Linked DNA regions of Drosophila melanogaster. The protein of the gene in region 1 interacts with the protein of each later gene in a pairwise test. Each region holds a gene or a part of one and is shown in the gene's direction. Other genes may lie near its edges.

The links. Proteins that work in one complex are often made in the same cells at the same time.
Region 2: the proteins of CG6443 (region 1) and CG15036 interact in a two-hybrid assay, tested with the Drosophila melanogaster proteins (one large-scale study listed by BioGRID).
Region 3: the proteins of CG6443 (region 1) and Mpc1 interact in a two-hybrid assay, tested with the Drosophila melanogaster proteins (one large-scale study listed by BioGRID).

Annotation. Positions count from the first base shown.
Region 1 is NT_033779.5:10,723,003-10,730,873, forward strand, and holds CG6443 (uncharacterized protein), read left to right. Parts: upstream 1-5,975; 5' UTR 5,976-6,100; intron 6,101-6,178; 5' UTR 6,179-6,237; coding exon 6,238-6,306; intron 6,307-6,369; coding exon 6,370-7,200; 3' UTR 7,201-7,296; downstream 7,297-7,871. Other genes in the region: CG6431 (uncharacterized protein), read left to right, coding at 1,272-1,344, 1,415-1,544, 4,603-4,751, 4,832-5,266, 5,350-5,554, 5,611-5,674; CG17118 (uncharacterized protein), read left to right, coding at 7,297-7,380, 7,438-7,629, 7,696-7,871.
Region 2 is NC_004354.4:7,421,381-7,428,137, reverse strand, and holds CG15036 (uncharacterized protein), read left to right. Parts: upstream 1-3,295; 5' UTR 3,296-3,325; coding exon 3,326-3,544; 3' UTR 3,545-3,611; downstream 3,612-6,757. Other genes in the region: CG32726 (uncharacterized protein), read left to right, coding at 2,412-2,459, 2,526-2,660; rumpel, read right to left, coding at 6,616-6,757.
Region 3 is NT_033777.3:18,923,850-18,931,760, reverse strand, and holds Mpc1 (mitochondrial pyruvate carrier), read left to right. Parts: upstream 1-3,101; 5' UTR 3,102-3,372; intron 3,373-3,446; 5' UTR 3,447-3,504; coding exon 3,505-3,566; intron 3,567-3,632; coding exon 3,633-3,733; intron 3,734-4,102; coding exon 4,103-4,263; 3' UTR 4,264-4,765; downstream 4,766-7,911. Other genes in the region: Xrp1, read right to left, coding at 5,257-5,856, 5,965-6,683. UniProt on the Drosophila melanogaster protein: Mediates the uptake of pyruvate into mitochondria.

The DNA of each region.
Region 1 (7,871 bases):
TCATTTTGGGGCCCGAGTTTTCCTTAACTCAGATCTGTTTCCCTCTCGTGGTCAGAATTAAGTGCTGTCGCTTTTGCTGCCAACTTCTTTTTATCTAAGGTGTAGGGAAATTGTTTGGCTTGACTTTTAAATTGGCCTTAAAGGTTGAGTTCATTGGACTTTCTTAATTGGAAACCAACGCTGCACTTGAAAATGTAGCCTGGTTTTTATCAAGTCTACCTGTTAACTTCACTTTAAAAAACACTTTATATACTCCTTAACTGCGACAGTTGGATCTAATTGATCTATTACATTTTTAATAGAAATGTGGCGTGATAGCGTTTAAAATTTCTAAGATCATTGCCATACTTTCAACACTCATCGAATCTGTTTAACAATTTATTGGTATGCTATTTAAAAAATGCAAAGCTTTTTAAATGATTTTTATTCTTTATTGCTGTGGATAAAGGAGCCTGCAGGTGGCCAAATGTCGCAATCAATAGTCGTTTATAAACACATAGTCAATTGCGAAACGCTATCACCCCAGTCAACAATATGATATTACACCTCAAAAAATATGACTGTGATTAAATATGACTTTCATGATTAAATGAAAGGAAGCGTTTATCATAACTATGCAATTTAATGGTCATTTAAACTTAACCAAAATTCATTTATCATTTTATTTAAAAAAAATAATTTAAAAAGCATAATCAGGCTTCATAACATTTATCAAGCGATTTGAAAAATTTAATCAATTTCTTAACTATTTTAATCGATTTAAATTACTCGCTATGGTAAATGCTTACTGTGGCTAAAAAAAATGAATATAGTTAGCCCGATCGATAAAAATTGTAATAAAAGTTAAATGCTTCGTTTATTAGGCCTTTTTGTGATGTAGGTATAGAGGGCTCAGTTTAGATATATTGTTTTACTTTCAACTTTCTGAAAACACAAATCGATTTTCCTCAGTGCACTTTGCCGTATGGAAATCTTAGTTCGGTTACACGCAACTTCTGCGCACACGAGACCAAAATATGAAAACAACCGCCTGATGCCTCCCCACAAAGCAATGTCACCCAATCCACAGATGGCGCCGGGTCGTTCGTGAGTGTCAATTTTCGGCGATTTTCATTCGTTTTTCATTTTCTTGTGCGGATGCAGCTTTTAAAAGCTCTTGGCTCCTTAGTTTGGCAGTAGCCGATGCGAGTGGCTCATTCAATTAGACGGCTTCCATTTAACCCGATGTGTCGCGGCCTTCTCCGTGATACCAATTTAAATGCGGAGTTCATATGGACAAAATGCTAACGAGCCTTATCGCACTGCTGTTATCGCTACTTTCCCTAAATCCCATCACGAATGCTTGTAAGTGAAGAAGATCGCATCGCCGATAGGGATTGTGATTTGTGTGCTTAGCTGGTTTCCTTTTTTATAGCCAAATACCACAGAGAGGCATTGCAATTCTTGTTGCGCAACGGAAACTTCGACCTAAATCCACTAAACTGTCACATTTTATTGTGGGAAACGTGCCCTAAGCGATTTATAGATTATCAGCTGTTTACAAGGTAAGTAAAGTGAGAAATGTGAAAGTGACAAACATGTTGAAAATTAATTTAAAAGACGAAAATAATGTTTTTAAAAAGAGTACGTTATTGAATGAAGTGCTAAAGACAATTATCTTAACAAATAGCGAAATTGAACAAGATAAAAATTAGATTTAGGTTTGAATGAATAATTTAATTTACAATAAGCCAGTAAGACCTCTAAAGCGAATTGGTTTTCAAATATCAACAGCCTTACCACGCTAGCCAAATAAGCATTCCAATCTTTCTCTTTTCTGCGATGCAGATTAACCTTATAAATGTTCCCATTTTACTCCTGAAATCTTTCCTTTCATTTTCCTGACCGTGAACCACGAAACAAAGGCAGTATGAAAGGCCAGCTAGTCACCAAAAAGATGGAAATCTGATAAAACTTCACAATCGCATAGCTAAAACGAATGACTTAGGAAACAAACTTGGCAATTGTCGTCGAATAAAATTATAAGAATTTGCATTAAATGCGAATGTTATGTAAATAATAAACATATGAATTACAAACCAAAGACACCATGAAAAGGCAATGGCATTGAGCTGGGGGAACGAAACCGAAACCATTTCCAACCGAAAACTCATAATCAAAATCAGTGCAGCGTTGCGTGTGCCATGGATTTTCATTTTCATAGACGTCGCCAGGCGGCAAATGCGGCAAAAGCAGCAAAAGCAGCAACAGCAGCAATTGCATCAACAATGAAGCCAACACAACAGCAAAAACAGCAGCAACATTATACAGATATTAGCCAAAGTCGTTCACGTTTTGACTGCGAAGTTGAGCAAAGTCAAGGCAACAGGCGGTGGGCTGAGCAATTCTTAGGCCAGTTTTTACTGTTGCTGCTGCAGTTGCTGTTACGGCTGCTACTGCTGCTGTTGCTGCTTCAGCAGGCGTCTGCTGCATTTTCCTTGGCTGCGCATTTCGCGCTTTTGCAGCCCATTTGCAGTGCACAGCGCGAATCTGCAAGACGTGGTGCGGATTGCTCGCGAAAAAATCAAAATTGCTAATTTCAATGCAAAGGATTACGATGAAATCGCTAGGCAAACACAAATGGATATCAATTAGAGAAACGTGCAATCGGAGTGCAAGTTGTCAATTTAAACGGGAAAGCGCTGTGGAATCTGGTTAAAAATATACGAAATATGTGAAAGGCGATGAAAGAGGAAAGCCAAATATCCTCACGGAAAATAACTCATTAATAAGTGACTTGAAAATAAAAATCTCTAAATTATTTCATAAACAAATCAGTCGAATGGAATTAAATTAATGAAAAATTTGGTGTAAAATTGGGTGAAATTAAATTTTTTTTTTAAATTGTGAAAGATAATAAGTTAACTTTATATGCATGAGCTAATAACAACCTGAATTATGAGCTCAAAATTTTAGTAAATATTATTACCAGTTAAAGTATTGATAATGTAACTTTTTTATGTGAAAATAATCGAAACTGCATTGAAATTTTGGCTTTAATTAGCATTTTAAATAAGTGAAACAACAAGTCATAAGACGTTAAAGTCCAAATAAAAAATGAAACAAATCGTCGTGCTTTGCATATTCTCACTCTTTGCCAAAGGTAAAATACCTGAATTTATTTCACATAAAATGTGTTGATCAAGCTGAAAAAAAATCCAGTTCTTGTTTTTCCGTTCAAAAAATCTTGATCATTTACACATTTTAAAGTGTTTTTATGAAAAGGCAGAGAATTTAAGAATCGTGAAATGCAATTGCAGATGCACAAACATTGCTCCTAAGCCAAATGGATTGGAAGAATCTGCGCAACAGTGGAGCCTTGGACCTAAATGTCTTGCGCTGCTTTTTGCGCGACAAAAACTATTGTCCCAGTCCACATATCGATCACCGTCTGTATGCACCGTAAGTTCGATTGGATTCGAAGATATTATGAGTACTCCCAAAGTAATATTCCTTTTTGAGCAAAATCAAGTTTTATCGGTGAATCACACTTTTAAATTGGTATTAAGTCCATAAAGTGCTGATCAAAATGCTTGCAAATATATATTTTTTAAGTGCTAAAGATGTGTTTTCATCTTTAAAAATCAGTCGTGCCACATGTTTAGGTTCGATTTGTTTATAAATTTAAATGCCAAAAGCAGGAAAATTAATGTTATTAATTTAGTCGCTGGCGGGGGAGAAAGTTCCTCAGGTGTTAGGCAACTGGAATTTCAGACTCGGTTAGTGTGTCAACTGCCGAAACACTTGTCGCACTGCACTTGTGCAACCATAAGGATATTAAGCGGCAAAGAGCAAGAGAAAAAATAAGAGTACAATTAATGGGCGGGCAACTCGTTTCTCGAAACCAGCCACTGACCCACTAAGGATGGGATGCTTTTGCCAAAGGAGGCCGGCTTTTTCCACATCGAGCGCCGATCTTGGCCAGCGATGACATCAATTTCAATGGCCAATGCCAATAAAATGCTTTGTAAATGGCTCCTCGATATTTGCCCAACTTGTCTGGGCAAGATTACCGCCAGCTCTGGAGGCGAGACAAAGTCGCAACTGGCGAAGTCCATTTTTGGAGAGCAGACGGGTAATTGCGGTGGTAACAAATTTAACAACTGGGGGGATTACATGATGGCCAGCTTTTACGAGCCTGCTGATTGATGGTTGTATAACAGCGGGAAATGACCGGGCTGACACCTCCGTTCTGGGAAATCCGCGAAGGAATACAAATTGCTTTTTCTGCAACTATTTAGTCTCGTTAAGAATTTCTGGAAACCGTTTGGCTTGTAATTGGTGATGTATTTTAACTCATAGTTGTAAAGTCTATAATTTGATCCACTTTAAATGAATTTTTCATTATTACTAGCTTGATATTCAATTGAAAATCTTTCAAGATTAACTAAAGTTAAGAGTTAGCATGCCCAGATCTGTGCTTGCTGCACGAGAGATTTCTACGGTTTTATACACACATGGAATTTCCATAGTTCTATTTAAATGTATGCACAAAAAAGAAAACAGAGATATCTGCAAAATACTATTCCATTATTATATAGTGGCTTTTTACAATATTTTCAGCAATGGACCGCGTCGTGGAACTCCTTTAAATGTTAAGAACCCAATAACGCTTTATAAAGGTGGATTTAGCAAGCACCGCGAGACTGTCTTCATAATACACGGATTCAATGGAACTGCCATAGATATTCACCTGCAATTCCTTCGAGATGGTGAGTGCATCTATCTGTTAAATTATTATATTCTACAATATTAAGCTATAATTTATATAACTTTAACTCTCTCTTTTTAGCTTACCTATCCCGCGATTTCAATGTCATTACAGTGGACTGGCGACCTTTGACCCGCTATCCATGCTACCTCCACTCGCTTATAAACACCAGGTTAACTGCGCAATGCACCGCCCAGATCTACGCCTTCCTCACCCACTACGGAGCTGTCCGGGAACGGATCACTTGCGTGGGTCACTCCCTGGGCGCCCACATCTGCGGCATGATCAGCAACCACCTGACGCGGAAACAGTATCGCATCATTGGATTGGATCCCGCCCGGCCTTTAATTGAGCGCATGAAGAGCAACAAGTTTCGGTTGTCGATCGATGATGCCAACGTCATTCAGGTGCTCCACACCAATGCCGGTTTCCTGGGCCAGGAGGATAACTCCGGGCATCTAAACTACTGTGTCAACGGTGGACGCATCCAGCCGTTCTGCAAAGGAAATCCAATCAGTAAGGCTAAATTAAAGTAGTTTAATACCCTCTTTCTCGGAAAAAGAAATCATATATAAATAAATGTGCTCTCTATCAAACAGGAAAATCGCGATGTTCGCACTTCTTGAGCATCTGCTACTTGGCCACTGCCACATTTAAACACAATAAGTTCATGGGAGTACCGTGTCCCAATGGCTGCCTGAATCTTAGTGGATCCAAGAGGCTGCCAGTGAGCGGCAAAGTGAATCCCTTCGAGTTCGCCTCGCTGATAAGGGAGTACCACATAGGCAACGATGCCCCCGATGAGTAAGTTTATTAAAAACCATATATATAATTTATAACCAATTTCATATTTGATTTAGCGCCCGAGGCTGCATTTGCATTGATGTGCCGTATGCCAAGCACTGCCCCTTTACGGATGCGTAGGAGCTGGTCTTCAGTAGTTTGTAATTCTATGATAAAGCTGTCGATAATAAATTCAAGTAATATTATTTTTTTGGTCTTTGGGTATTTTAGTAAATATGAAGGAAAAATGAGAAATAATTACTTACCTTCTACTACACGTAGTAGGAGTTTATTATTAAAATGTTGCAAATTCCAAATTTAGTTTTCGAAAATTTAAAAATCAAATTCGATATACTAAGAGTTTGGTTCACCGTAATATACCAAAATTTATATCGAATATATGATATCGATGTTTGCAATCGTCATTGCAGTCGCTACAGCTGTTTGGTGTTTTACCATCTCTATGGACATTGTGTATATAAAACATTTGTTATTGCTCATAACAGAATTTCTCCATTTACTACAACCTGAAGATATATAGTTATTTATATCGTTAGTTTATTTAAAGTAAGTAAGATACTTATACCGTGTAAAATGTAAAACAATTGAAAAATATCATAACCCATTGTAAATCGCATATTATAGTTTGCCCAACAAGGAATTCCCAGGAAATATATTGTAATTCTTGAGATAAATATATAATCATGGGTTGCGATGGAGGAACTATTCCCAGGCGCGATGAGCTGGTGCGCGTGAAGCAAAAGCCAGAGCAGGTAAGTCTATTCGATTGGAGCACCTCCTAGCCAGACCGAAATATCATTTCTCGAACCCTACAGAAAGACAAAGATGCGGAGAGGGAGTTCCGTTGGCGCCACTGCACCTTGACCCAGCAAAGCCTCCAGGAGCCGATCGCCATGTGCGGCATGGGTAGGCTCTATTCCAAGCAGAGCGTCATTGAGCGACTGCTGGAGAAGGAACCGATGCCAGAGACAGCTGCGCACGTGAAGAGCATGAAGGACATTCGCCAGCTTAATCCCACACCCAATCCCGCCTTCACCGAGGAGGACAAAACTGAGGGACTGCTGGACACACGACATTCTCCTTACATCTGCAAGCTGATTGGCCTGGAGATGTCCGGCAAATTTCGCTTTGTGGCCCTTTGGAGCTGCGGATGCGTTTTATCAGAGCGTGCCTTGAAACAGATCAAAGGCAGTGTGGCTAGCACTTGTCCGCTGTGCCAGGCTGCCTATAGCGTTGAGGACGTGGTGGTCCTCAATGGCAACGAGGAGGACATGGAGCTCATGCGGGTCAAGATGGAAATGCGTGCGGCCAAGCGTAAGTCCTCCAAAAAGGACAAGAAGAGTGCCAAAAAGGTGGAGGTGAAAGCGGAGCCCGCAGAGGAACAGGAGCCAGTGGCGTCCACATCCAAGGCTGCAGCCGCAGAGAAGCCCACTACAAGCACAAAAACCAAGGCGGTGGCGCCGGTCAAACGACTGGGCGCCGTTAATGCAATGCAGGATCCCGAACTGAAGCGTCTCAAGAGCGACTTCAGCGTGGCCAAGGACCCGAAGGCCAGCGATGTTTACAAGTCCCTTTTCACCTCCCATAAAACCGAAAAGGACCAGGAGCGCGCCCACTGGGTCACCTATAATCCATTCTACAATTAGTCTAGATTTCGTTTAAGTTTGCTGTGTTAACTCAGTCACATGTCCATAGTTTGATCGTTGAAACCACACACACAGTTTCAAAATATACAACCGACAATGTATCGTGCAGCCTATCAAAAAGGTTTCCTTACCGTGCTTTACAGCGTAGGCAGTTCGCCCCTGAACAACTGGTCTTCCTATGTGAGTATCTGGCATTCAATGCAGCTGCCTCGTCTCTAGAAAGCATCCTTGTAACAGACCAAAAACGGGTATATCAAACGGATCTACGATGAGGACATCAAGTCCCTGGTGCTCGAGATAATGGGCTCAAATGTGTCCACCACATTCATACACTGCCCCAGCGAATGCAAGGAGCAGCTGGGCATCAAGTTGCCCTTCCTGGTGCTCCTTATAAAGAACATGCACAAGTACTTTTGCTTCGAAGTTAAGGTAAGGCCAAGTGCTATGAATTTATAGTAAACTCTGGACTGCACAATGATGACAATATATCCTTAGATTCAAGACGATCAGCGCTTCATGCGCCGTTTCCGAGTGTCCAATTTCCAGAGCAAGACCTCCGTGAAGCCCTTCTGCACGGCGATGCCGATGGGCATGTCACCGGGGTGGAACCAGATCCAGTTTAACCTGGCCGACTTCACGCGCCGTGCTTACGGCTCCAACTATCTGGAGAC
Region 2 (6,757 bases), on another chromosome or scaffold:
ATATTTCATGCAGTCTCAATTGGAATTCTAAATCAATCAGATTGAGACGACGCCGCCGTCTCCACTCAGCTAACAGCTAACCAGTTCAGTTCTGTGCCGTTGGGCACTGTTGTTACACAGCGGCAAAAGTTGGGTAACTTTCATTAATTAAAATATACACAATATTTCATTTGCGATTTCAATTGATCACAATAACTTGTTCTTAATATTATATTGAGCATACTAATTAATAATTTGATGAAGCATTCCCACATTGAAATTTTGAAACTTTTCGTTTCGCATAGTGTTCAAAATTCGTAGGACTCTGTGCATTAAGTAAGACACAAATCATAATCGTATGCGTGGTGGGAGCGGGGGAATTCCGGGCGAAGGAGTGGTTATATCTAGGTGCCAGCTGGGCAAGGATCTGTGGCCTCGGCGTCGTCCTCGTCCTCGTTTCCCGTCCTGTTAGGAAATGCAAAATTTCAAATATGAATTGAACTGATATATTAATGGCCACTTGAGTTGCACTCTCTTCAGATCCTGGGGACGTTTGTCAGCCAAAAGTAACTGCAGCTTCCTGGGGGAAATTTCGAAAATGCGGAAGGGATGATGAGGTGGCTGTTGCTGGTGGTATAACCTGCTCGGTGTTGGCATTTATAAATCAAAATTTTGGGCCAACAACCTGCAAACATACGCACACCGAAGGACATTCTGCATCCGTGTATCATTGTATCTGTGCTTGTGTAATTGCCAGGACCTGGACTGCATCCTGTTTTGGGGTGGGGGCTGGCGGATTGGGGATTGGGGATTGGGGTTTTGGGGTTCTGTTTTAAGGGGGTGCCACAATTGCAGCAACTTATCTCTCGCCTGCCCATATAAATAATGACAAGCACGACGACAAATAATAACCAAACGCACACAGGACATGCCGCAGGACAATAGGCCTGGGAGAAAAATAGGGTCGAGGTAAGGACGACTACTGTCTGTGAGTGAGTGTGCATAATATGAAAATTTATGTGCGGAAAGGATTGAAAATAAATTTATGAATTATATTGGTTAGAAAATTGCATCTACTCAAGGATATCCTTAATGTCTCCAGGATATGCATGTGTTCAGCTAGGCTTGCTCATTGTTTTTGGGGCTATCTGTTACATTCAACAATGTCCTGATTCAATTTATTGTTTGTTTGATTTGCATTCTGACCGGAGACACTCGCCAGATATGTGCCTGTATATCCCTCTATAGTCGTATATATAAAGTCCTGCGTCCTTTGTGCCATTTGATTAGCGATAACAGCTGCAATTTGCGCCGAAAGTGCTTTTCGAATTATCATTGACAAAAATAAGAATCCTAAAAAGTAACACACGCAGCCAAGGCTTATCGTAAAAATCCAATAAAAGTGGGCCACAGAATTCGGTTTGGGGACTTTTATGATTTTTTCCCCTGTTCCTGCTGACATTTGGTAGTTTATGACTGGATTTGGTTTCGATGCAGAGAGAACAAAAAATAATTCAGTTCAACACGTTTTAACTTTATGCGTACATAATAATAATAATAATAACATTAGTATCTGCTATTTGTATATCTTTTAAGCATTTTAAAAGGAATTTTAGTGTTTTGATATAAGATTTTATATTTGAGATTGCTTGCTTGCTATGTAGCAATGTTTTTTTTTTCAGTGTTGCAAATATGTCAAAGTTCAGTAACCGTATTCGATGGGGGATTTTGAGTAAGGTAAAAGGAACTGGTCATAAAACTTTCCCGACACGTTTATGCCTATCTGGGTTGTGGATCTGAAATCTCAATGCCAATCCAAATATATATCCACATTCTGTGGCAGTTCATCAAATGCTCGACGACAAGTCACGAGCGCTGCAATCTGGAGTGGCTTATGGCATTAGTTATTAGTTGGGGGGTGGTTGGTATATCTGCTTATACAGGAGGATACATTTCATTAGTCAGACATCACAGGCGCATTTTACAGAGACGTGTTTCACTAAGAGACCATGTGAATAAAATGAAAACGGTGTTTGGTACTTTTGGTAAAAAAAAAAAACAATCACCAAAGGCATAAATATTACATATCTCTAGTTTCTCGAAACTTTTAAAATCGCTCAATAAAATTCTATTCGCATTGGAATAAACATTGTTACCTCGACCTAGACCCAAAGAATTAGGTTCATTTGAACTGCAACCGATTCACAGTTGTATGATCGAAAATGAGAGAGCTCCAGTGCACATGATAATTGCAGACGAGTTGAAATAATGTTATTACAAAATCAACACCTCAATTAGATATTTAATGTGACACACCAATTACGCAAGCAATTACAAATATACTCTTAATATATTTGTTTGAAATCGGTTAAACAATTGGTGGCCCATAAAAGCGAGGTGTTCGAGGCCAATGTCAATCATTCCACATCAAGATGCGTTTCTGTCTACTGTTCCTTTTGGCCATGAGCTGCTGTCTGCTGGTAACTTAAATGCTCGATAACATTACAGATTGCGCATATTCGAAATATTCGTGCCCTTTATTCTAGCAATTCTCCGTGGCTGGAGTGAATTTGGTGCGCGGACTGGAGGCTGCCGGTCATCATCGCAACTTCACCGGCTCACCACCACCGCGTGGTGCTCCTCCACCACCTCGGACCACCACCGCCAGTTCTTCGGGTTAAATAAATTGAAAGCAAAACACGAGAAAACTGGCAAAATTTCCATTGACGGACGATTTAAATGAAACCTACCATTATGTAATCCTATAGCTTCAAAAAATATAGAAAAACCATTCCAGCAAAAAAAAAAAAAAAATAGTTCCAGTGTTTTAAACCACAGTTTTAGTAAATATTCGTTTTTATTTATTCGTAATTGGCAATATATCTATCTTATCTCGTTTTAAGATACTGAAATGAATTCATTGAAATATAAAATTCTACATTTTGCACAATTTGCATCATTTATTATCTAAAATCTCTTCGCTTTTGTGAGACTTTCATTATTGATATGTAACGTCTGAAACCATTTGGCCGGACTTCCCGCGCGGCGATTAAAATCGGCATTAATTTGACAAAAGTTCAACGACAAAAAAAAAATGAAATTAAAGCTATCTGATGTTGGAGAGAAAATACAGTATACATATATAGGCTGGGCCATACCCTACATGGCCCATGGTCAGAGGTGAGGCTGCAATTTGTGATCGTATTTGTTGATACAACATATCCAATTGTCCGTCGTCATTGTGGCCAATTGAATGGAGCTGCAAGAAAAGCGAACTATAAAAATGAATGGAAGCGCCGTTGAACACAATCAGTTGTTTGGGGGAATTCTCGGGCCGAGGATCACGATGAGGCAATCCATAAAGCACATATTCGCACTGTTGGTTGCCCTGGAGTGTTTAAGCCTTGGCGACACGGCGCCCATCGGTGAGCATCCGGATCATGCCGGATGTATACGGATAACGATCATCAAGCGACCATTGGCCACCACCACCACCACGACAACAACAACAACTACAACCACAACAACCACTACAACCAGAGCAACAACCACGGCCGCTGGTTAAAAAGGAATATTCTAAATTCAACACAAACAATTTGTAGAAATACACTTAGCTCCTCTGATCAACGCTTAAGAATAGTTTCCAAATCTTATAATCTATGGTTTAACAGTATATATCCAATTGGTTTCTTGAATACCATACTATTTTCGAAATTCTACCTTTATCGCAGGGTAATCTTCAATTTATTCTGTTGAAAACGTTGTAATGCCCATTCCTGCCACTTTTCAAATGGAAAAGGCATCCGAAATCATTGCATACTTTGCGGCAGACACTCGAAATGCAATTTCAGCCACGCCCACTCCCCAAGGTGATGTAAAATGGGCTAAAACGGCTGTGAAAGGCCACCGCACAATGCACAAACGAAGCTGCCGAATATAATTAAATATTTTATCGCATAAAAGTGCCAAAAATGAAACGACAACAAGAAAATAAGCAGCCGGCATGCGTTTTTCCATCTGGCTCCTCTGACCATTGTGCTTTGTGTACACTACAAAAAAAAATATAATATTCCGTATACTACAATTTCGAATCATAGTATTCAAATAAACTTAATTGGATAATTACTAACAGCAGCAAAAATAGTTTTAGCCTTTAGTTATTCAAGCTTTAGTGGTAGTACTTATGTCTTAAGTATTTCGATGGAGCATTTTTTTCAGTGCTTTTGGCTATATGTGTGGTGCACAGGTAGAGACCACCCCTTCGTTCCTCTGGACCTTCACTTGTAACCCCTTTTGGAGCTCTTCTAATTCTATAAGCTGACATTGTTTTGGCAGGGAAAAGATTGAGGGAAACTCGAAGGGGAAGGGGATTGTTGGAGGAACACATGTTCCCCGCAAACAATAAACCCGCAGCTCGGAGTCCCTCTTTTTCGACCACTGCATTTCTTGGGTCTCTTTTAGATGAAATCTTTTGGTCAACAACAACATCAGCGGGCCATTGTTCTCGCCTTCCATTCTGTAGTGGCTGCTTTTTTCGACAATTTCCATATGAATTTTAATTATAATTTTTCTATGCTCATTTTCATGAAAACAATCAAAAATGACTTTTGTGCCGCTTGCCCGCCCCTCCCATCACAAAAAAAAACAACGAATGTTGGTTGAGGGGCTAAAAGGAGCTTGAGGTGGGCCCGTTGCAAATTGTCACTAGCATTTATATGGCCACCAGGCATCTGAAAATTAGGAAACGGAACTACATACGCGAAGGCTTTGTTTTTCGAAAATTATTGCATGGTAAAAAGTCCAATAGTTTATATACCCTATAATTTCGAAATATAGTTGAAAATTATAACGTATACTATTATATAAAAAAAATATTTGCTGACAGTTCTTAAAGCGAAAAACTGCGTGAGAAAATATTATATATTTGCATAAAAGGCAAGAGATTTTGCATAGAAATAAAGCTTATTATTTATTTTAACCATTATATTTTAAAACATATTTTTACAAGTTAATGTCTTGAATCTTAACATAGGGTTCGATCAAATGGTTCAAATGGTATGACTTTACTCACAACAAAAGGGTAATGAGATTGGGATGAGGAGCAAGCAAATTATATTTGAGCATAAAAAGTAACACAAAAGCAACACGGCGACATAAACAAGTTAACAGAGCGAGGAGTTGTTGGCTTTTGTAGTTGGCAGTTTGGCACGTTAGCGCTGCCAGCTTCCGTTTCCTGCCGTGGCCAAAAAACAATCCACCCATATGACAACTGTCGCTGTGCCCCCCTTGGCCTGGCCCCTGACCATTAACCCCTTAACCCCTTAGCCCTTAGCCCCTAGCCCCATAACCCTTAACCCCTGTCACTGGCCATGCATACAGCATAGTTTTTGAATATACCGCGAGATGGCGCACCTGTGTCATCTACGCTTTTGTCCAGATTTTATAAAAACAAAAAAAAAAACCAAAAAAACTAAAAACCAACACACAGCCCGGAAACTGTCATTATGCATTCTGATGATATTTTCGCCGCCGTCTCTCCTTTGTAGAAAATTATTTTTGTAGTCGGCTAATTAAGAGACAAAAAACCATGGGAGTGTGTTGTACCTGTATATGGCAACATACCATATGTCGTCTTCATCATCGATAAAAGTTTTGAAGCAAGTAAGTAGATGAAGGAGTTGCACAGACTGAGGCAAAAACTAATTTCGCAAACATTTGTCAGCTCATTAACAATTCAATTTGCTGCATAAACGACCTAAGCATACAAATAAAGATGGGCGTTTTGTGACCCCAACGAAATAGTTGGGCCCACTCGGATGCAGACTGACCGACCGAACCACACATGAAAAGCAGTAAATATTCAATTAACGGCACAGGGTAAAACTAATGTGAAAACGGAACCCTTTGGGTTAGCCACACCCCTTGTTGGGCGCCCCCACCCAACCCACTTGACCTTGGCCAGACAGAGTTCACTGCCCAATCACTTGTGCCTGGCACTTGAAAGCGGAACGAAACCCTTACTTGAAACAGGGGTTCTCTAGTTCTGGTCATTTTAATAGCCGCTCGCTCGCAGAGTATTAGGGTATACTAGATTCGTTGAAGAGTATGTATTAGAACATGTAGAAGAAAGCGTTTTCGACCCTGAAAAATGTATATATTCTTGATCAGCCGAGTCCGTCTATCTGTCCGTATGCACTTTGTGATACTTGCTATGCCGAACATTTTCCGATCAAGTTCTGCAAGTTCTTAAGCGAATCGATAAGAGTATAGAAATCTTCGACTTTGTAAGCAGCAATTTGTTACCCGTAGTTTTTTCTTCCTTGTGATTTTCCGTCTATTTGGGCAGCCGGCGTTTTGATTTGTCGGGTCAGGTTATATGCACCCAGACCTGGTCCTTTCTGCACTTGCCCATTTTTCGAAACCTGGGCCATAACTGCGGGCATTTTTCTAATTACAGAGAAAGCAGCACAGGAAACTGCTTTGAACCCATTTCGTACAGGAGGACACAGGAGCCCAAATAATTATGAATTGTGTTTTATTTTAAATATTTGCTAAGCTACCGAAAGGAACTTTGCCAGGATGATGCCGGTCAGCCTTCTACTACTCCTTCCCCTTGAACCGCCATGCAAATCCCCTTTACGTTTTCGTCTCCTGTTTGTTGCTGGATTTTTGACCAGAATCTGGTATCTTTGATCGGCGATGGCGACGTCGCTCTAACCAGCGTCTCACAAATGGTGTGAGCAGACGTGTGTCAACTCCATCCAAATCCGTCTCCCGG
Region 3 (7,911 bases), on another chromosome or scaffold:
AGCTCGCAATTCTCTCGAGGAGACGAATACGAAGACCGAAAATCACCCATTATCCAGTTTTATTTTATCATCAATTTTATTACACACAAAGTAAAGAGGCGCAGCCGAGCAGCAAGTTGATGATGTACCAGGCTATCAACATCAATGAAAAACGGCAACAACAACATCAAGAAGCGAAAGCTAGAGAGAAAGCGTCACACACACACACACGGGCACACACGCAAAGAGAGATGCTGAGAGGCGAGGATACAAAACACACGCCCTTTTGGTAGGAAAAGCCAAAAACTGAACGGAAACCGAAACTGAAACGGAAACTGAAACACTCGATTGACGACTTAGTGGCTAAGCTAATGCTAATTGCAGTCGTACTTACTTAGGGCTGCATCTATGGCTCCTTATCCTTATCTTTATCCGTATGCGTATCCTTTTTTTTTTTTGCTATTTGTATGTGTATATATATATATCCTGATCCAGTGACCGGGGCGAGGAATGTTTGTTGCTGAACACTTTCGTTTGCTTTGTATTACATTGGTATTATTATTTGGTTGTAAACTTTTGCTTTAGCACTTGGTTTCTCCACTTCTCAGCTTGGCATTTCACTCACTCGAGACACTTTCCTGTAGAAATCAAAGGATTTTCTTTTAAGGGGCGGTCCACTATGATTGTGCTGCCACGGATCTCGAACTCCTCGCACGGGTGGCAGTCGGGCGACTAAACGCAAATCACCTCATCTGCTTACGGGCCATAAAATAAATGTCTTACGAGTGCGCCTCAATTGACCGAACAATAAACTCAATTTGCATTGAGCTCTCTGCATTTGTGTGGGTGCGGATGATTGTGCCGTCTTGCGCTTGATTGAATCAACAGCAAGCAAGTGAACAGATTTGGATTCTGTTTAGCTCTCGGACACTTTAACAACATAGTACGGAGTACACAGTCGCACTGGATTAGTGCGCTTAAGTGCGCTTAAGAGGAGCCTTTTTAGCTATTTGCCTCCATTTGGCACTTATTCAATTGAGGCATTTTGGGGACATTTCGAAGATGCCAAGATGCGCCACCAGGAGCGAGTAATTATGTCCGGCAAATCTCGCCCAGGAAAACACAAGTGTCCAGCTAACGACAAAGACCTTCAAGGGCCGCTAAGTAGGTCGTCCTATATGGTTGGTCTACATGTATATTTGCTATACCCCAAACAGAGTGTTTGTTTCATACATCTTTTCTTTTACGTGTTTCACCTTTTGCTTTACGAATGAAATCATTTACCATTCTTGGTCTTTTGGGATTTAATATTGAATCCTAATTCTAATTATTTTATATAAATCGCTTTAATGTTAGTTGAGCACAAGTTTTAGTATGTCTTTATTTTACACCCATTTCACATAGTTACTTCCGCTACTTAGAAAACTGGTAAAAATCCCTTTAAAAAAATTCACAAATCTGGTTGCTTTGTGTTTCCCTTTCTTTGATTTTCAATTATATTTCTCGCTTTTCTTTGTCTGTTGTTGTGGTTGCTCTTTCTTGCTTTTCCCCATTTTCACGCTTCTTCTTGCTTCTGCTCTTGTTTTTGTTGATAAATTCGGATTTTTTGGGAGCGGCTCATTTGGTTTTCTCTTAAACTTTTCCTTTTTTCTCGCGTGGAAAAACATTTTTGGCAGACTTACTGGGGAAAATGTACGAAAATTTCATGCTTACTAGCAACAAATGTGGGAATACAAAAAAAAGTGACCATTATGTGTAGGATTGATTTTTCTTCAAATGGTTTTTCTTTTCAGGTTTTACTGAACTGAAGCTGCGGCAACTGATGACGCGTAGTCAACATTTAAAAATTTAAAGAAGCAAAATCTGTCTTTGTTTTGGCAATTCTTGGAGTTGGTTTCTTTGGGCATAATTTGAATTTTCTTTAGCTTTCCCAAGCACCGCACATGGAAAATGCTTGCAAAATGGCACACTGACCACATATAAACACTCGCACGCACGCACACACACAGCACACAAACGCACACATACACACACAGACACACACGGGGATTACAAGTTGGCAGAACAGTGGCAGCGAAGTCAGCAGCGGCATCGACTGCCAACACAATTTCCATTTGCCTATTCCGCTTTTTCACTTTGTTGTTGTTGTTGTTGTTATTTGGCCAGAGGATGTGGTGTGTTGTTGGTGCCAGGATTCCTTCGATAAGGACTATTTACCGAGCCAAGTTTCCTTTGAGCCGCCGTCGCTCTCGAGTCGCAAATTCACACTGAGCCGGAGTTTTGGATTCGGTTTTGGATGCTGGTTGCTTCGCACTCGGATGCTGCTGGTTGTGCTGCTTTGGTCTTCTGCCGCCGCGGCCAAGGACTCAGGCGCAGGCTGTCGGCGCAGAAACCATCGCCCCAATTCTCTTCGCCTTGGTCCTTTTAAGAGAGCCGGAAGAGCGCGTATTAAGTGAAGAGCGGAAGCGCGTGGTGGATTAACCACTTGAAAACCGTGGCGCCCGCACTTCAGCAAATGCGTTGCAAATGCACACATTACGTCCACTTGTAATTAGCGGGCTTAATGCACATCAAGCATCCGCTTTTCGGCGGATATAGGGAGGGAAGTCCCTGCGACAAGCCTATCGAGATTGCAAATCGAGTCGAGTGTTGCAGCGATCAGTATATGCCTGACACCGATCAAGCGCTTCAATGACTTTCAACGATAGTGTAATATATCGGTATAACTTACAGGATTTTAAATGAAAAAGCAACAAGATTAAACTCGTTTTAGAATAGCAATTAAATGTTTAATTTTCGATTGACTTTATAAATATTTAAGTTAATATTAATAATGTAATATAAATATCAATATACTAGATTTCTTGATATTTATGCGTAGAGCTTTGAAAGCATTGTATTGTTTTACACTGTTTACAATGCTAGAATATTTTTTTGTTATAAATATTTTATTAATAAAAGTCTTAGCATAGTGCCTGGGCACAAATTTGCCCAACTAAAATATTGCTGAAGGTTATGTTAACCACTTTTCAAAAAAAGATTTAAAACCTATCGCATTCGCTTCATTCGACGTCCATCTCTAAGTGTGACCCTTGGATGTGGCGATTGTACGGGCTATCGATAACTCCGACGCGACAGCGACGCGGCAGAGAAAACTCGTTGATGCCTTTCGTTTGACTAATTTTATATAACTTTCGGAGTGACAACACGGCCGACACATAAACAAAAAATATATCCTAGCTTGTGAATATTTAGGCACACACTTCACACACCTGCAACGCGGCCTGCAGTTCCAAATTCTTCGTGTTTTCGATCAAGGTGTTCCAGGCGGTAAACAAACAACAGCAACAACAGCTGGCACCACAAAAACAACAACAACACGGCGAACAACCTGTAAGACCTTGAGGGGATTTTTTTCGGATTTATATTGCGCGGCAATGGCAATCTAATCTAAATTATTCCACCAGGTGCGCTTCTGATTAACATTTCTGGTCAGATATATTCAATTAGCAAAGCGGTAGCATCATGTCGATCAGGAGAGCTATGTCCACAACGGCCTCAAAGGAGTGGCGGGATTACTTTATGAGGTCTGTTTGTTGGTTATCAATTGGCCTTATATGACTTATTGTAAATATTGCTTTTTATATCCACAGTACCCACTTCTGGGGCCCGGTGGCCAACTGGGGTATTCCGGTGGCTGCTCTCGCCGACACACAAAAGAGTCCCAAATTCATCTCCGGCAAAATGACATTGGGTAAGGATATCCCCCCTTGGGTTTTGGCCTCCATCTGGCATCCATACACGCGCGACTGGCATCGAAAGTTTTCGCTTAAGATGTCGTAATCAGAGCCGCTGTGATATGTTCTAAACAAATCACTCTATAATGCCTGATAAGCCAGATACGGAAACTGTCGAAACGTCTGCCGATAAGATTGCACAGAGAAAAAACTAAGCACAATTTGTCCATTTTACTCCATAATCCGATTCCATCGGAATAAGATGCCAGCGAGGCAATATGCACATAATGTAATGGAAATTATGACAAATTTTGCTTATAATTTGTCCTGTGCCTTTGCCTATGTAAATAAGTCTCCCAGAAATGCTTATCCTCGATCTTTTCCAGCTCTGACCCTGTACTCGTGCATCTTTATGCGATTTGCCTACAAGGTCCAGCCCAGGAATTGGCTGCTCTTCGCCTGCCACGCTACCAATGCCACCGCCCAATCGATCCAGGGTCTTCGCTTCCTTCACTACAATTACGGGTCTAAGGAGCAGCAGGCGTAAATGTAATCCTTGCCCCGAAATCCACTTCCCCGAGACGCGACGCGCGAAGCCACTTCAAATGTTTACCCAACAGCAGCAGCTATCGCAATTTACTGCCACCACACGCAACGAAGATCTAGCAAATTGCACTGCCGCAATCCCATTCAAATCAAATCCAAGTGGTGGAGTAATTGCCGTGAATCACACCCGCACAATCGGCTGAATCTCGAATCGCGAAGTTGTCGTGCCCCAGTAGCCGTTTTCGCTGGGGTCAAATTCCAATTCCAATTGAGTCTATACCCAACTTGTTACTTTGCCCATTTAGTTAATTCCGTTAGGCAGTTGATCAAAATTTTAAGTCGGTGCAATGCTTAGATTACGATTATATGAATATGGTTTAAAATCCAATAAAAGATATCAAAATCTAATTTTGTCTAGTGTCTGTCAATACAAAATGGTTGTAATAAAATTGTAACATTTAATCATTAAAATGAAGAACGTTATAGAACCCATTCAAATATACAAAGTTAGTTGATTTTGTCACGTTTATTGAAACATGCTTTTTATTCAAACAATTACGGTTATATAAGTTGATATCTGTAAAATATACATTTCAATTGTTCTTAACAATAGCATATTTTTTTGTTGACATTTTTTAAACTTTTTTTTGTTCATCAATGGGGTTAAAACATACGAACTCGTAATCATTTTTTTGTTGTGCTTTTTTTTTTTTTGATTACGCTTTGGACGAAAAACATATCCGTGGGTATAAAAATTTTTTAGTTTTCTCAAACATAATAAAAGTAAAATTAAAGTTAAACACTCCTCGCGCACTATGGGCGCCATCACTATGCCTAATAAGTGGCTTAACTGATGTCCACATGGAAATGGAAATTTGATTTCTGCTTCTCGACTTCTTCAACGACAACTTAACTAACTAAACAATTGGATGACGACGATAGGTACTATGACAGGCTTATGCTCCGCAATTTCTATTCTATGGCTACGAGAATCTCAGTCCTGCTCCTGCTTAACGTAAGTGCTCTTCTGCCGCTGGCGCTCCATCAGGTACTTCTTGAACTTCCGTTCCCGGGAGGCCACTTCGTCGGCCCGGGCACGCAGTCGCAGATTCTCGGCCAATAGCGTGTCCTCGGCGCGCTTCTCCTCCTCTTCGCGCACCTTCGTCTTCCGGCGCGATACGCGGCTCGCTTCGTTGTTCTTGAGTCTGTCCTGGTAGGCCTTCCTCTCCTCCTCGCTTTTCATGCTTGACATGAGCACGGGATCGGGACCGTCGGCATGATCCTTGGCAGGGCGACCGCGCTTCCGCTTGCCGCTGATTCCGCTGGCTGGCGAAGGGCTGAACACGGACGTACTGGCTGTTGAATAGGCGGGCGAGGTGGGAGCAGTGAGGAAGCCACCATAGCCGGTCTGGCAGGTGGGCGCCGCACAGCTGGAGCTGGCTGAGTAGTTGCTGTGTGGTGTGTTCGGCGCCGAGAAGTCGGTGGTAGTCTCCTCTTCGGCACTGCGTAGATCCTCTACGATGTCTGCATGGGTGCTGCTGCTGATGGAAGTGTTGCTGGTGCTGGTACTGGTACTTGTGGTGGGAGCCTCGAACTGCAAATAGGAGAGATTAAGTAAATTAGGCTGTGCTGGATATTTCGACTTCAAAAGAGCTGACAATTTTTCGGTACACCATTTAATCTGTTCTTTACAGATACTTACCCGATCATCATTCAGGAGCTGGTTGATAATCTCCGGTGTGGTCGGACTGAATGCTGGAGCTAGCTCGGTTTTGATCTGGAGCATCAGTCGGCTGCGCTTGGTGGGCTGCGACTCGACCGGGGCCGGAGCAGAACGCTTGATGTTGGTAATGATGGGGTGTTGGATGGGGGCTGGGATGGCCGCGGCGACGTCACTGCAACTGCTGGCAAAACTGCCGCTGACGTCCTCCACAAGGCCGAAGCCGAGCTCCTGGCTGCTGGTATAGCTGATGTCGAAGCTGGTCATGTCGGCGAGCAGGGGCTCCTCCGTGATGAATTTGGTGGTGCTGGATGTGGATGTGGCCTGAGAGTAGGTGGCGAGATAGGGGTCCTCTGAGCTGGTGAGCATGGCCGTTGGCTGCGAGTTGTGGAATATGTTGATGAAGTCCAGTTCCTGCTCCTGGTTGATGTCGATACCGACGCCGGACATCGATGACATGTCGAAAGTCTCCTCCTCGTTAAGCAGGTCATTCAATTGTAGAAAGTCGTCGTCTAGGTTGTCGTTGTTCATCCCGTCCATTGCCGGACTGAAGGGATCCGTCTTCTTGCCCTCAAGCTCAATCAGATCCTCCTCGGCAAACATGTTTATATCAAAGTCAAGAATATCCGTCTCAGTAAAAATCTCCTTTCCGTTTTCGCTGTTGCACGTCGATGACGTTGCTTCTATGTCTTGCAGGTATTCTGTGATAAAAAAAAAACATTTATTAGTACAAGTCAATTAATATTGAGGCAGATCGTGCTAAATGGGTGTGCATAAATTGAATTTAGTTTTAGGTAAATATATATTTTTTTTTTGGAGAAAAGGGTAAGATACCAGCAAATTGATTGATTGTATAAAATATTCGAAAAATAATTGTTATTTAATATATATTTAGTTTTCAAAGTCTCAACTATCTAACTGAATTAAAGTTACAGCGAGTACGTCATTGATTGAACGCAGTGTCACTTTAGAGTTATTCTAGGCGATCCATACATAGAACACCCTGTATTGTGCAAATTTAGTTGTGAAATTAGCCAAGAGAAAAGGAACAAAACAAAATCGAAATGAAAATAAAAAATAAAACCAGAAAAACAAAAAGTGCTGAAAGAGAAATTAAAATCTATTACATCTGTTAATTTGTGCAAACTAACAACAACCAAAACGTGCGTATAGCCAAATAAAATAAAATTATTATTCCATTACTTTTTCACCAATTATTCTGATTCGAAAAAACAGTCTAGTTTTTTTCTTTCCCTCTCTCTCTCTCTCTCTCTCTCTCCCTCTGTGCCGGGTGCTCAGCCAGTGACGCATTGCGCGACAACAACGACTGACAACAACCACACAAAAATCGGACATGATTTTTCCTGCTCTCTTTGAGCACCGTAGTGACGTAGTGAGTGTGTTTGTCATGTTAGGGGCTGACCATAGACAAAGTCTTATTTCTTTCAAGAACAAAAACATAATTTTTTAGAAAATAACTGGCATGTAAATCTAAAAATGAGAAATGCAAAAAGAAAACAAAAACAGTGGTTAAATATGGGGCGATCGCGTACAAGTGTAAACTAATTGCAGTCCCATTTTGAATGAAAACCATAAAGACTTTTATTAATTTTAGGTTTCACCAAATATTTACCTTTGCTGTCTTTTAAGCGGTTCCGATTTTAAAAATCGGTTCAGATTTATCCGCGGACCAAAAACACCTCTTAACGCTGCAACGATTGAATCCAAACTGAATTGGGGCTCAAGTTATTGTATATCTCTAGTAAGAGAGCCGGCCTGTACATGTGCCTAACAAACACAGACACAGAACAGCTGTCGGCGCAACAAGTTAGAAGGCCATCTCGCTCACACTCTCAGATTCTCAGAATGTGGGAGTTCTCTCTGCTCTTTCTGTCTCTTTCTGCATCTGCCGGCTTTTTTCTACATAGA